Linked DNA regions of Ovis aries. The protein of the gene in region 2 interacts with the protein of the main gene of each other region in a pairwise test. Links are inferred from orthologs where the notes say so. Each region holds a gene or a part of one and is shown on either strand. Other genes may lie near its edges.

Region 1 (4,040 bases), on a different chromosome or scaffold from region 2:
GGATTCCTGCCCCCACGGGCTCCAGGTCACTGTCGGACTCACTGGACAGAAGGAAAAGCTGTGCATATCAGTCACTAGCTGGAAACCTGTGGCAGGAGCCTATTCTAACCCAGCACTGGGACCTGGTGTACAGGCCCCAGAGATGACCAGTGTGGGCTGGGAACTGATCACCCCAGACCCCCATTCTAGGAAGTGTCGTCAGAGAGGCTCGGAGCAGATGGCAGAGAACAGCTGAGGCCATTGTCAAGGATAGATGATCCTGCAGACAGGTAAGCCTCCACCCCCCGACCCTGCCAGGTGGCTTCAAAAACTTTTGGTGGAGCTTGGGTGACTGTGATACTCTTAGAGTTAAGCTCGCCTCTTCCTTTGGCAGGTGGGGAAACTCAGGCCCAAAAGGACCTCCCCAGGTCCCCCATAGTGGGGCACAGAGCTGAGCCAGAGCATGGATGTGGCTCAGCTCAGGGTGTCCTGAAGGTGCTCAGTAGCCCCCAGGGCCCAGTTAGCATTTGAGGGGCAGGCACTACCCCACTTACCTAGGGGAGCAGAGGGGCTCTGCCGAGGAGTAGGGGCTCCGGAAGGCAGCCTCCCTTCTGGACCGTTGCCAAGGGTGGGCATGGGGGCCCATCTGGACAGACAGGGGGTGGTACTCTTTCTCCCGGGGGTCCAGGGTTGAGTGGGCAGGGGCAGCCACAGATAGCCGGGTGCTCCTCTGGCTCAGGCTGCGAGCTGGGGGGCTACTGCCCTTCTGGGCCCCTCTCTTCCTCCTCCTGGCTTTCACCTGGGTTTCCACCAGCCACTTGGTGCCACTTTGGCAGGACTCCTGGATCCTCTGTGACCAGTGCATGGAAAAGTCAGAGTGGACAAGCCAGGAGTGAGCTACCCGATTTCTCAGGGCATCCCCCAACCCCTCGGCCCACCAGCTGGTCCTACAGACCCAGGAAGCCTTTAGGCTCAGGGTGAGGGATGCAGATGAGTCCATGAGGCCACAGGTCCATAGCAGGGACCCAGCTCAGGCCCCCAGGGATAAGTGCATGGGCGGCAGCATAACCTCTCTGGCTCATGGAGCCTGCATTGGTCTAAATCCAAACCCTCTTTCTGGACAGATTGACCCAGACTCAAAGGGGAGGCCTGGGGGAGACCACACCTACCCCCAGGAGACAGTGAAATAATTCTAAACATGTTCGGCACGTGCCCTACCTTCTCACGCCCTGTCTTGCTCTCTGTCCTCCAGCCATACCCAGACTAAGTTCCTGCCAGTTCTTTTCAGCGTCTTGCTCTCCTTTAACCCTGGGTCTGGACTAGTTCACCTGTCTTGTACACTCCTCATACCTCCTCATACCTCCCCTTTCCTGGGCGAATTCCATGGAGTCACCTCCTCCAGTCACCTTCACTGACTAAGCTTGTTTTTGGTGTTCCCCCACCATTAGCCCTTTGCTAATTAGCAACTTCCTATCACAGTATAGCTCTTTCATCTTGTCTCATGATGTTCTGTTTCCTCCACAACCCTGTTTTCATTCACTCATTCAGCTATTTGTTGAGCATCTACTGGGTGCCATGGGCTTCCCAGATGGCGCTAGTGGTAAAGAAACCGCCTGCCAATGCAGAAGAGATATGAGACATGGGCTCGATCCCTGGATTGGGAAGGTCCCCTGGAGGAGGGCCTGGCAACCCACTCCAGTATTCTTGCCTAGAGAATCCCATGGTCAGAGGAGCCTGGCTCCTACTGTCCATAGGGTAACAAAGAGTCAGACATGACTGAGGCGACTTAGCGTGCACGCACTACTGTGTACCAGGAATTGTTTGGAGAGCTGGGGACACTAATAAATCAAGGACCTTGTCTTCACAGAGTCTATATTCTTGGGAGATCTTTGGGGGCAGCCATTTTTCAGCATCAAGGAAGCCCTACATCCATACTTGGCATTACCTGGGACATGGCACCCAAGGTGCTCTTAGCTGAGCGAGCTGCAGCCTGGAGGCCCTGCTGCCCTGGCTCTGGGGTTTCCAGGCGTTTCCAGGAGGGGCCCACCCCGAGGTTGAGGCTGACTGCTCTCAGGGGCAGCCGCCTCTGGAACTGTCTGCGCAGGGAGCCCAGGGCCCCGCTGGAGGTGTCCAGGTGGCCGGCTACAGGCTGCAGGGCCTCGCTCTCCTCCAACCGTTCCTGGTTCTGGAGAGACCTCCGACGCAGGGAAGCCCCCACAGCTGGCCACCGAGAAGCCATCTGACTGTTCAAGAGTCTGTTCTGTTCCCACAGACCCTGGGGAGGAGATCAATGGGAGATCAGCAGGGTATCCCCCATCCCACTCCCAGGATCCAGTGAGACACCGGGTACCAGAGAAAGAGATTCCAGTCCTGGGGCCCATGGGGTGGGTCGCTTGTCAACCGTGGGGAGGAATTCTTCCTAGAAGTGAGGTCATAGAGGCCCGGGAGAGGGCAGAGTCTGGACAAGGCCGGCCAGCAAGGCGTCCCTTGCTGTGAGTGTCTGAATTAACTGTCTTTTCATCCCAGGCTACTTTCCGTTATCTGCCTCAGGCTGGGAGGGAGGCAGTCAGGACCCGCCGGCCGTCGCTGAGCCTCAGCACTTGGCCCAGGCTGGGCTAGGGACTCTTTCACGAGCTCGCCTTGACCCAATGCGCGGAGGTGGGCTGACCAGACACCCCGATGTCCATCCGGCTGTACCCAGAAGCCCCACATGCCGTGCCCGTCCTAACTAGGGGTCCCCCACCCCACCTGCTCCCGTCCCTTCTGAACAGAACCCCACCACGCCCCGGCCCGCACTCACCCAACAGCTCCCGAGGCTGACCAGACGACGTGCATAGCTGCTCCTCGCCCATCCAGTCGATTTGAAACACCGCGCGGATCCGCCCCCCTGGTCCTGTCCTCACAGCTGATTGGCTCTGTCCCCGCCTCGCGGCCACGCCAGGGATCCGATTGGCCCCTGCGCCAGCGGCTGTGAATCCTGCTCTCGGATTGGCCTAGCCATCCCCATTCATCCTCTGGAGGCCCGCTGGACAGGGAGCCGGGCGTAGAGGACCCTTTGTATCTATGGGTCCCGCCCGAGTTTCCTGCAGAATCCGTAGCCCGCGCCGGCTCAGCCCCGGCGCCACCTACTGACCCTCGGTCTCGGGCCACTGGACCCCATCCTTAACTTATAAAGGGTTCTGGCTGGCCTGACTGGGCGGGGCGAGGCGGGGTCCCCGGCTCCTAAGGGTCCCTCCCATCCTGCCTGAAGGTCTCAGTGGTTTTGTCAGAAAGAGCCTGGGCTGGGAACTCGGAGCCTTGGGTTGCTGTGGAAACTTTGTTTCAAACTTCCCTCGTGACCCTCTGCCTTCCTGAGACTGCCCTTCAGTTCCCCAAACTTGCCATCCGCACGGATCCCCAGGAAAACCCATCTTGGGAGAGGGGACAGATTGAGTGCATCCCCCAGCCCCCTACCCCCACTCCAAGTACGACCCCCAACCCTGTCCCATTGACCATCCCCTCTATCCAGCTGAGTGCCTCCCCCCTTCCCTTTAGCATCCGAGCTAAAAAATTCACCATTTAGAAAGCCCCCTCTCCTTCCCCCTCAAAGTAGTCCCTACTCCGTTTCCTCACCGCCCTGCTCACCTGGAACCTTTCCTCCCCCCATACACCACCCCCCCCCCCCCCCCCCCCCCCCCCCCCCACCCCCCCACCCCCGGCTCCATTCCCGAGTTTCAACTTATGGGTCTCTTGAAGGTCAGTCATTAACTCTGTTCTTCACCTCCGGGTCATCTCCCCCAAACCCTGGTAAAGGGACTTTTCCCATGGGAGGAGACCGATTCAAACGAGTCACTTACTATGCACCTGGCCGTGGTGCAGTGATTAAAGAATCTGCCTGTCAATGCAGGAGAGGAGGGAGACATGGGTTTGATCTCTGGGTTGGGAAGATCCCCTGGAGAAGGGAATGGCAACGCACTCCAGTGTTCTTGCCTGGAGAATCCCATGGACAGAAGAGCCTCGCAGGCTATAGTCTATGGGGTCGCAAGTCTATGGGACACGACTGAACCGCTAAGCACAGCACA
Region 2 (3,962 bases):
ACTCAGCCACCTGGGAAGCCCCGAGACAAGGCAGTCCCTGACTATTGTGCAGTCAGGTTCCGGAATTCTTAACCCTCATGCTATACTAACCCCCTGCACCCTCCTCCCAAGGGCCTTTTCTCACAAGCCCTCATGAACCCAAGTCTAGAACTTTCTAAACTCTCACAATGACGTTCCTTCAGCTCAGGACTTGCCTCATGTGTGGCATTGGGTTAGGAACTACCTGGAGGGCCCGGGGCAGCTGCTTCTGTTCACCTGGCACCACTGCCTACTGTGGGTGGGCTGGGCACAAGCAGGCACTGAGCCAATACCCCAGGAATGTGTGAAAGGAGGGCAAGGGTAGTGCAGGGTTGGGGGGTTGGGCATTTTCTGAGCTCCCAAGGGGTTCTGATCTCAGAATAGCCCACTTAGACTCCTGTGGGAGGCCAGAAAAAACAACAACAAAAACAGAACCCCTAGTTAATCTTTAATTTCAGATAATGAATAATTTTCTAGACTGTTCCAAATATTGCCTGGGATATAAGGTCCACTGGAGAAGGGATAGGATAACCCACTCCAGTATCCTGGGGCTTCCCTGGTGGCTCAGCTGTAAAGAATCCTCCTGCAATGTGGGAGATCTAGGTTCGATCCCTAGGTTGGGAAGATCCCCTGCAGAAGGGAAAGGCTACCCACTCCAGTATTCTGGCCTGGAGAATTCCATGGACTGTACAGTCCCTGGGGTCACAAAGAGTTGGACACGACTGAATGACTTTCACTTTTCATACTTAGATTAAAAAGTTATTCATTGTTGATATGAAATTCAAACTCAACTGGATGTCCTCAATGTCACCTGGCAACCCTAGCTGTTCACGACCTCTCAGCACTTACTTGTCTCTGATTGGTAGCAGCTAAGACCCTTAGAGATATGGTGTTTTATTTCCCAAGTCAAAGAAAGGACCAGCTATTTCACTGTGGGCAGTGAAAGCCGGCAAAGCTCACATCTGTGGTCACGTGTGGCCTGTGAGGCCCACAAAGTTTCTCCAAAAAAAAAAAAAAAAAAAGCCACAAACAGACTAAGCCCTCCCACTGGGCACTAACTGTCAAAGCAGAAGTTGGCCCTAACTAATGGTGGCCAGGAAAAGACAGAGCTTTGAAGTCTGACCGTGATGGGTTCAAATTCTGACTCTGCCACTTAATCTCTGTGGGGCCTTGACAAGTTACCTATCTGGTCTGAGCTGAAGTTGGCTCAGCTACAAAAATCTCAGAAGGTTGATACGACTAAATAAATAACCCGGCACACCACAGACGCCCTAAGAATTAGGGCTCACTCCCTCGTCAGTTCCTGCTCCTCTGTCCCTTTCCTCCTTCCCCCTTAATAATTATTTTAGGCAAGTCTCTAATCAGAGAAAAGGTAGTCGGCATTAACTGCACACAGCCTGGAACAGAGTGAATGTTGATACCAATGAACCTCAGTTGCCCTCGTGTAAATTTCTTCCCTGCTAAACCTTCAATCCAAGCCCATTCCCTTGTCACAGCCATCTCTCCCCCTGCAGCAGTTGACTGGAAGCCTCGGAGAGGTCTGCTGAAGCAAGTGTTCAATATTAAGGAAATGTGCCCACGTGAAGTCACAACACAGACCATGTCTAATAATCCAAATATGGATGATGTATTGTTCTGTAGTCATCTATCTCTTACTTTAGGACCAGACACCATGGGTGCATAATGCTTTGTCAAGGGTGAATAAGAGGGTACTCCTGCATACAATCTCAAAGGAAACTGTACCTAGGCCGCAGATGGCAGGTCTGGTCCAAGGCTAAAACCTTTCTGACCAAAGCTAAAGGCTTCAGCCTCTCAGTGGCAAACCCAGCCAAGAAACACTGGGCTGGAGGAGGGCGGGGAGAAAAAGAAGAACAGCCTTTGGCATTCTTACAGCTCAGGAAATGAAGACACCCCAGCGACCTACAGTGTTTTCCTAAATGTGCAAAGTTGGGGGATTCTGCTTTTGAGTAAATTCTATTGGTGTCTGTGTTGCTTAAGAAATAAAGACGTTGAATCTATCAACTCTGAAAAACCATCTGTCTGGGATCATTTGATTTCCTTAACTTGATCTTCCCAACAAGAGAGGCGGTAAGGGCAGTGTTGGGGGTCCAGGTGAAAGCTTTACCCCTCTCTCGGTGGAAGGCAGGTGTCCTGCCTCCAAGTCCAGCCTCGGGCTCTCCTTGGGTCCCTCCCCACCACGCTCTCCTCTTTCTCCAGAGAAATTCTGGGCGCGCAGGCCAAAGCGAGCCTCAGGGGCTCAGCGCTCCCAGCTGAACCGGTCTTAGGGAAGAGACGGCTGCTTCCCTCCTCCAGCTCCCTCTCGGTCTTTCCTGCTGGCCTTCTGGATCTGTCTTCCTGGTATGGTCTGTCCGCCCACCTCCTTACACCTGGGCTCTGTTCGTTCTCTTTCTCCCCACCACTCCACTTTCCCCAGATTCTCGGTCCTCTACCTCTAAAATCCTCACCTCTAAAATCACCTACTAAAAGCGCAAATACCCAACACGCTCCGGGAGACCCGCCCCGCCCATCGCCACCTTCAGGTTCACGGCTGGCAGCTCCATCGCGACCCAACCGGACAGCACCTGCGCCACAACCGCGGGGGCTCCTGGTCTCCGAACTCGGGAAACAAACTTGCCCAGCCCCGCCCCGCCGGCTGCCCTTTGCCAGAGCTCCAACCCCAGCTGGGCTGTGGGGGGGGGGTCACGTGAGTAGGTCATGTGACGACGGCCCGGTATCTAGGAGACGGCGTCGTGCTGCTTGAGCCTTCACTGCGCCACTGCCCAGGTAGTTACGGGGCGGGGCCGGGGACGGGGGCGGGGGCGGGCCGGGGCCGGGGCGGGGGCGGGGCCGGGGGCGGGGGCGGGGGCGGGGTGGCGGGCGGCTGGAGAATATCCAGATTTGTGTCGCAAAGGGCGCAATATCTCGCCGAGTTAAAATCCCAGCAGGTGGGCTGACGGGACCACCTGCAGCCAGGAGAACTTGGGGGAACCTCCAAGTACAATCTGCAGATGTGGTAACAGCTGGTGTCTCATCCCTGAGGGCACAGTCTCTCCTCCCTCCTTCCCCAGTGAAAGTGAAGACGGTTACCTACCTCATAGAATCCTTCTGAGGATGAATGAACTAATTCATGTTTGAAGAAAAAATACTGACACTTACTTTAAAGGTAAGGAAGACTTATTCAAGACTGTTGGGATCCCCTTGGGTCTGTCCCGCTGAGTGCTTATTCTTATTTCCAGGAGGGGAGAGACCACGTGGAAACCTGAAAGACTGGCTGGGTGGGTCCTAAGATCCTATCAAGATACAGACTCTAGATACAAAGAGCGGAGTTTTCCAGGTGGGTGTGGAGTCTGACACGACTGAGCGACTTCACTTTCACTTTTCACTTTTATGCATTGGAGAAGGAAATGGCAACCCACTGCAGTGTTCTTGCCTGGAGAATCGCAGGGACGGGGGAGCCTGGCGGGCTGCCGTCTATGGGGTTGCAGAGAGTCGGACACGACTGAGGCGCCTTAGCAGCAGCAGCAGTGGGGTCTTCTGCAAGGTCGCGGAGTCCGCTGGCCTATTTGAATGTCCCTTTTGGAGACACAGCTGTCCAGCCCCCTGAGCAGAATAGCACATCTGCCAGAGTAACAGAGAGCTGGTAAGCTTCAGAGACCGGACAGATAGCTACACTGGGCACGATTGTTGGGATTCAGAGCCCAGAGGACTAGCTGGACCAGAGAAAAGAGTTTGAGTCCTAACTTTGTCCACTTACTGGTTCTACTTGAGCAAGTCACTTTGCCTCTCTGTGCTTCAGTTTTCTGATCCGTAAAATGAGAGAAATAATAGTATCTTCCTTGAAGGATGGTTATTTTGAATTTGTTAATAAGGATTTGTTAATATGTAAAAATGTTTAGAACATTGCCTGGCAGACAGCCCTTGATCAGGACTTGCTACTGTTTTGA
Region 3 (3,978 bases), on a different chromosome or scaffold from region 2:
AGGGCCTCCACCTATACCACTCAAGATTACTTCACACCAAAACTAGTTATTTCAGTACCAAAAAAAAAAAAGTGTACAAAGAGCGGTGGTGCCTGAGGATTCAAGGCAAAGTCTGAAAAGGGAACCAACCAGAATAAAGAGACGTCGCAGATGGTATAGATGATTCTAGAGTTGGCTACTTTCTTGACTATCACCTGCCTTGCTGGGCATTTCATGCCATACCAGCATTGCCCGGAGATCCCAAACTCCTCTCAATAAAAAAAAGTCATTAGGAGGAGATGGAGGGGAAGCAGACATACCTCCAAGCTGAACTACTCCAGCTTAGCGACTCAGGGGTTGGGAAGATCTCAACAATTCCTAAAATTGCTTTGGTTAACCAGTTTCATTCATTCCCCGCCCCACTGTCCACAGAGCTGGGTGCTGCTTCTCCACAGGATGTACACGGTCTGCCTACCTACATGGCATCCATCCTTCAAGGACCTTGCTCAAATGCTGTCTCCTCCAAAGTCACAGAACCGCGCTGCTCGGGTGTTCACTGGATGGGGGGGCTGATCTCTTTTTGGCAGTCAGCCTCCCTCGGATACATTTTGCAAACGCGGAGCTACTTTGATCTTGCCTTGGAGTGTACTGTGGGTCTTAACACTTGCTCCAGATGACACATGCAGACAAGTCCCTTGGGAGCACACCACGTTCTTAGTTAAAAATCTTTTTCTCTCCCAAAGCACCTTGCCCCTTCCCCAAAGCAGTGAGAGATTAAGGGCACTGTATTTAAACATAAATACGGTTTGGGTCGTCGGTATCACGCGTGTTGTCACACCAAACCACATTAGTTAAGTTTCAAATTGCCCTGATTGGCTTCAAGCTCCCTCGCAGTCCCCGGACAGGCGCTAAGCAATTGTGAAATCACCAAAAAGGTAGGGAGGCAGAGGGGGAATAAAGGGAAGCCGGGCCTGAATAATCCTCACTGAGTCATCGCTTCCTGAATGATAGAGCTTGCCGCTTGGCGGGGACGAGGTGTGCGGATCCGGGGAAAGCAACCTGAGCGGCCGGTGGAGGACGAGTCCAGGAAGAGTCCCCCGCCCCTAGCCCTACAGCTGGGGGACCCGAGAGCCGGGGGGCCCGGCCGGCACCCGCGTGCTACAGCGCCCCTCTGTGGCCGCGCCGCAGTCCCCGCCGCTCCCCGCTCGCCCGCAGACTGCTCTCCCCGCGGCCCGAGAAACAAGACACGCACAAAGTTTCCCAGCCAGGCGGTTAGAGAAAGGTCGAGGCGAGGCCAGGGTCCCGAGCCTCGAAGCACGGGCGTGGCTGGAGCGGCGCCCAGGCTGGCGGCGATGGCAAGGGGTCTGAGTCCAAATGGACCCCCCCTCCCCTAGGATTCCGAGGTGCCCCCAAGCGGGACCCGGGCCCTCCAAATCCCAAGGGCGAAGGACTGCTCCCTTACCCCAACCTTCTAGTGGTGGGCGGGAGGGGAACCCGGGTCCACGACAGGAACGGGATGCACACCCCCCAGGGTTGCGCTACCAGGGTGTGCTTGGAGCTCTTGGGTTTGCTTTTTTTTATTTTCTTAATTGGAGGGAGGGGACGACCAACTCCCTTTGGCGCATTCTGATCCTCAGCTATCCGAATTCTGGATGCCCCCAAAGAACCCACCTGCAGTCCACCGCCCCACCCAACGTTACTCTCCTTGCTGGGGTGACAAGTGGAAGCAGCAACTCCCCTCCTCCTCCCCCTCCAGCCTCCGGATTTGGGAGGCAATGTTCCACCAGGGTTTTCCCCGCCGTCCGCAGTGGACCCGCTGGCGGGAAGCGGCGGCGGGAAGCGGCGCCCCGGAGCCGGGGACCGGGAGCGGGCGAGGCCAGGCCCGGCGCGGCGCTTACCTCGTCCACGGTGAGCGGCATGCAGATCCGGTACTCCTTCAGCAGCATGATCCTGCCGGCCACGGACCTCCGAGGCAGGAAGCGGGCGGGGCAGGGGTGGGGGCACCCCCAGATCAACAAGGCTGCCGCCCAGGCGCAGAGCTGAGCGCCGGGAGCCCCGTGCTTGGAGCCGGTCGGCGAGGCAGCCCCCCGGGCGGTGCGCTCAGTTCCTGGCTTCCTCCTCTCCGCCCGAGAGCATGTCAAGGTTTGGGTCCGGGTGTTCGCGGCTCCCCCGCCTCCTTCCTAGCCGAGGTCGACCCGCCTGGAACGCGGTGTTGCAAAGTCAGAGAGGGAGGGAGACCCACTGGAAACCAATCTGATCGGCAGCCCCGGGCAGCAGGAGCGGAAGCCAGATCAGGACATGCCCGTCGGCGGGCGACGGAGGGAAAAAAAAAAAGAAAAAACAACAACAAACCACGAGGTCCCCCAAAATTACACGGAATACACAAAAGTCACCCTCTCGATCCGCCTCTGAAACCAGATCTTAACCTGGCGACTTCCCCCCGCCCCCTTTTCCGGCCGGTCTTCCCAAGGCGAATGTCACCGAGCACACGTTGCAGCCAGAGCCAGAGATGCTGACTTTTCAGACAAAGGCTCGAACGGCTGTGCTCCCCGGCGGTAAACAAGATTTCCTTCTCTTTTTAAGGCCGGTCGCCGAGGCGCTCCAGGGTCTCGCTGGGTGAGAAAAGGGAAGCCTCCGCCGCCGCGGCCGCTCGGCTTCTGCGGGGCTGGGGCTCCGGGTTCCTCCGACCTCGGCTCGCGCCTGCGAGGGGCGGGCGGGCGGGCGGGAGGAAGCTGGCGCCTTCCGCGCGCGTCCCCTCCCCCGAGTCCGGATCCCCGAGCGCCGTGCGTGCCCGCGAGTTTGCAGCCACCTCGCCGGGGCCGGAGAGTCGGCGCCGAGCTGCGGTGTGCCTTGGGCTGGGGAGGTGGGTGCGGGAGGAGCGAGCGCAGCTGACATCAGCAGCCGTCGCGGCGGGGAGGGTAGCCCCATCCGGCCAATGGGGAAATGGCAAAGAATGTGGAGGATTTAAACAAAACAGCATGTCTCTCCCGGGCTGCTGCCAGACGGCGGGGCTGCCCCGGAGAGCCGAGGCCGGCCGGCGCTGGGAAGGATCGGAAAAGAGGGGGCTCCTGTCGGCTCCTTGAAACCCTTTGAGTCTTGTTCTCAGATGTACCCCGGGTGCCACGGTGCTCTGTCCAGCCACTCTGGGTAGCTTCTGGGTCCAAGGTACAGGAGTGTGTCCCTTGACCTTTAGAAACGGTTTTTGTGTGTGGGGGGGGAAGGGGGGTGTTTGTTTGTTTGTTTAACAAATGCCCACCCGAGTGCGTTTTCACTTTGGTCCAGTAAACAAGTCCAGCGCTGGAGAGGCAACGGGATTTGGGAGCAAAAGAGCAAACCTGTGCCTGGTTTCCTAACTGGTTTCAGAGCAGGAATGCAGAAACAGCAAAGTGCAACACGGTAAATTAAAATGAAATCCACAAGGAAAGACACACAACCAGGGGAAACGTGAACGGGGACATAGCCTTTTACCTCTCCTGGCCCTGCTCTGCAGTCTGACTGCAGGCTTCGCAGAGCAGCAAGAATAGGTTTTCCTGTCAGCACTCCCAAGTTCAAAAAGTCACAATGAAATGTCAATGAAAATGCCTGGAGTGTTGGTATTTCATCCATATTAAACAGATCCCTCATTTTAACCACAAGAGGCACATTCTTCAGTTTCTCTGGAAGCTGCATGTAACTGCTGAAGTCTGTTTTTCATTTGTCTGGTATTTTTAAGCTTGTTTTTCTGAAAAGTGCTGGATGAAAAATGCATCAGTTGCCTCTTTGCAGAATAACCTGCAAGCATCATCTTTTCTTGGAAAAGAAAAAAATACTTGTGCTCTAAGATCCTACAGGATCTACAGATCCTCCTCACAGGGCTTTGGATGGCAATGCAGATGGCCTCCATATTACAGTATTTAAAATTATGAGCAGTAAGTAATTAATTGCTATGGCGGGCTGTGGCTAAAATCATCCAGATGGCTGAAGAGAATTTCTGTGTGAACATGATAACAAAAGCTGATA

The links.
Region 1: the proteins of AGTRAP (region 2) and PIMREG interact in binary tests that used the Homo sapiens proteins (3 or more experiments, as listed by UniProt). The two-hybrid records come from large-scale screens. The link is inferred for Ovis aries from reciprocal best matches to the Homo sapiens genes AGTRAP and PIMREG.
Region 3: the proteins of AGTRAP (region 2) and PITPNC1 interact in binary tests that used the Homo sapiens proteins (3 or more experiments, as listed by UniProt). The two-hybrid records come from large-scale screens. The link is inferred for Ovis aries from reciprocal best matches to the Homo sapiens genes AGTRAP and PITPNC1.

Annotation. Positions count from the first base shown.
Region 1 is NC_056064.1:25,303,629-25,307,668, forward strand, and holds the start of PIMREG (protein PIMREG), read right to left. Parts: upstream 2,815-4,040; 5' UTR 2,780-2,814; intron 2,255-2,779; 5' UTR 2,219-2,254; coding exon 1,925-2,218; intron 830-1,924; coding exon 534-829; intron 42-533; coding exon 1-41. UniProt on the Homo sapiens protein: During mitosis, may play a role in the control of metaphase-to-anaphase transition.
Region 2 is NC_056065.1:41,204,302-41,208,263, forward strand, and holds the start of AGTRAP (type-1 angiotensin II receptor-associated protein), read right to left. Parts: upstream 2,811-3,962; 5' UTR 2,736-2,810; coding exon 2,601-2,735; exon of another isoform or gene 2,580-2,600; coding exon of another isoform or gene 2,553-2,579; intron 1-2,552. UniProt on the Homo sapiens protein: Appears to be a negative regulator of type-1 angiotensin II receptor-mediated signaling by regulating receptor internalization as well as mechanism of receptor desensitization such as phosphorylation.
Region 3 is NC_056064.1:49,176,068-49,180,045, forward strand, and holds the start of PITPNC1 (cytoplasmic phosphatidylinositol transfer protein 1), read right to left. Parts: upstream 2,815-3,978; 5' UTR 1,926-2,814; coding exon 1,878-1,925; intron 1-1,877.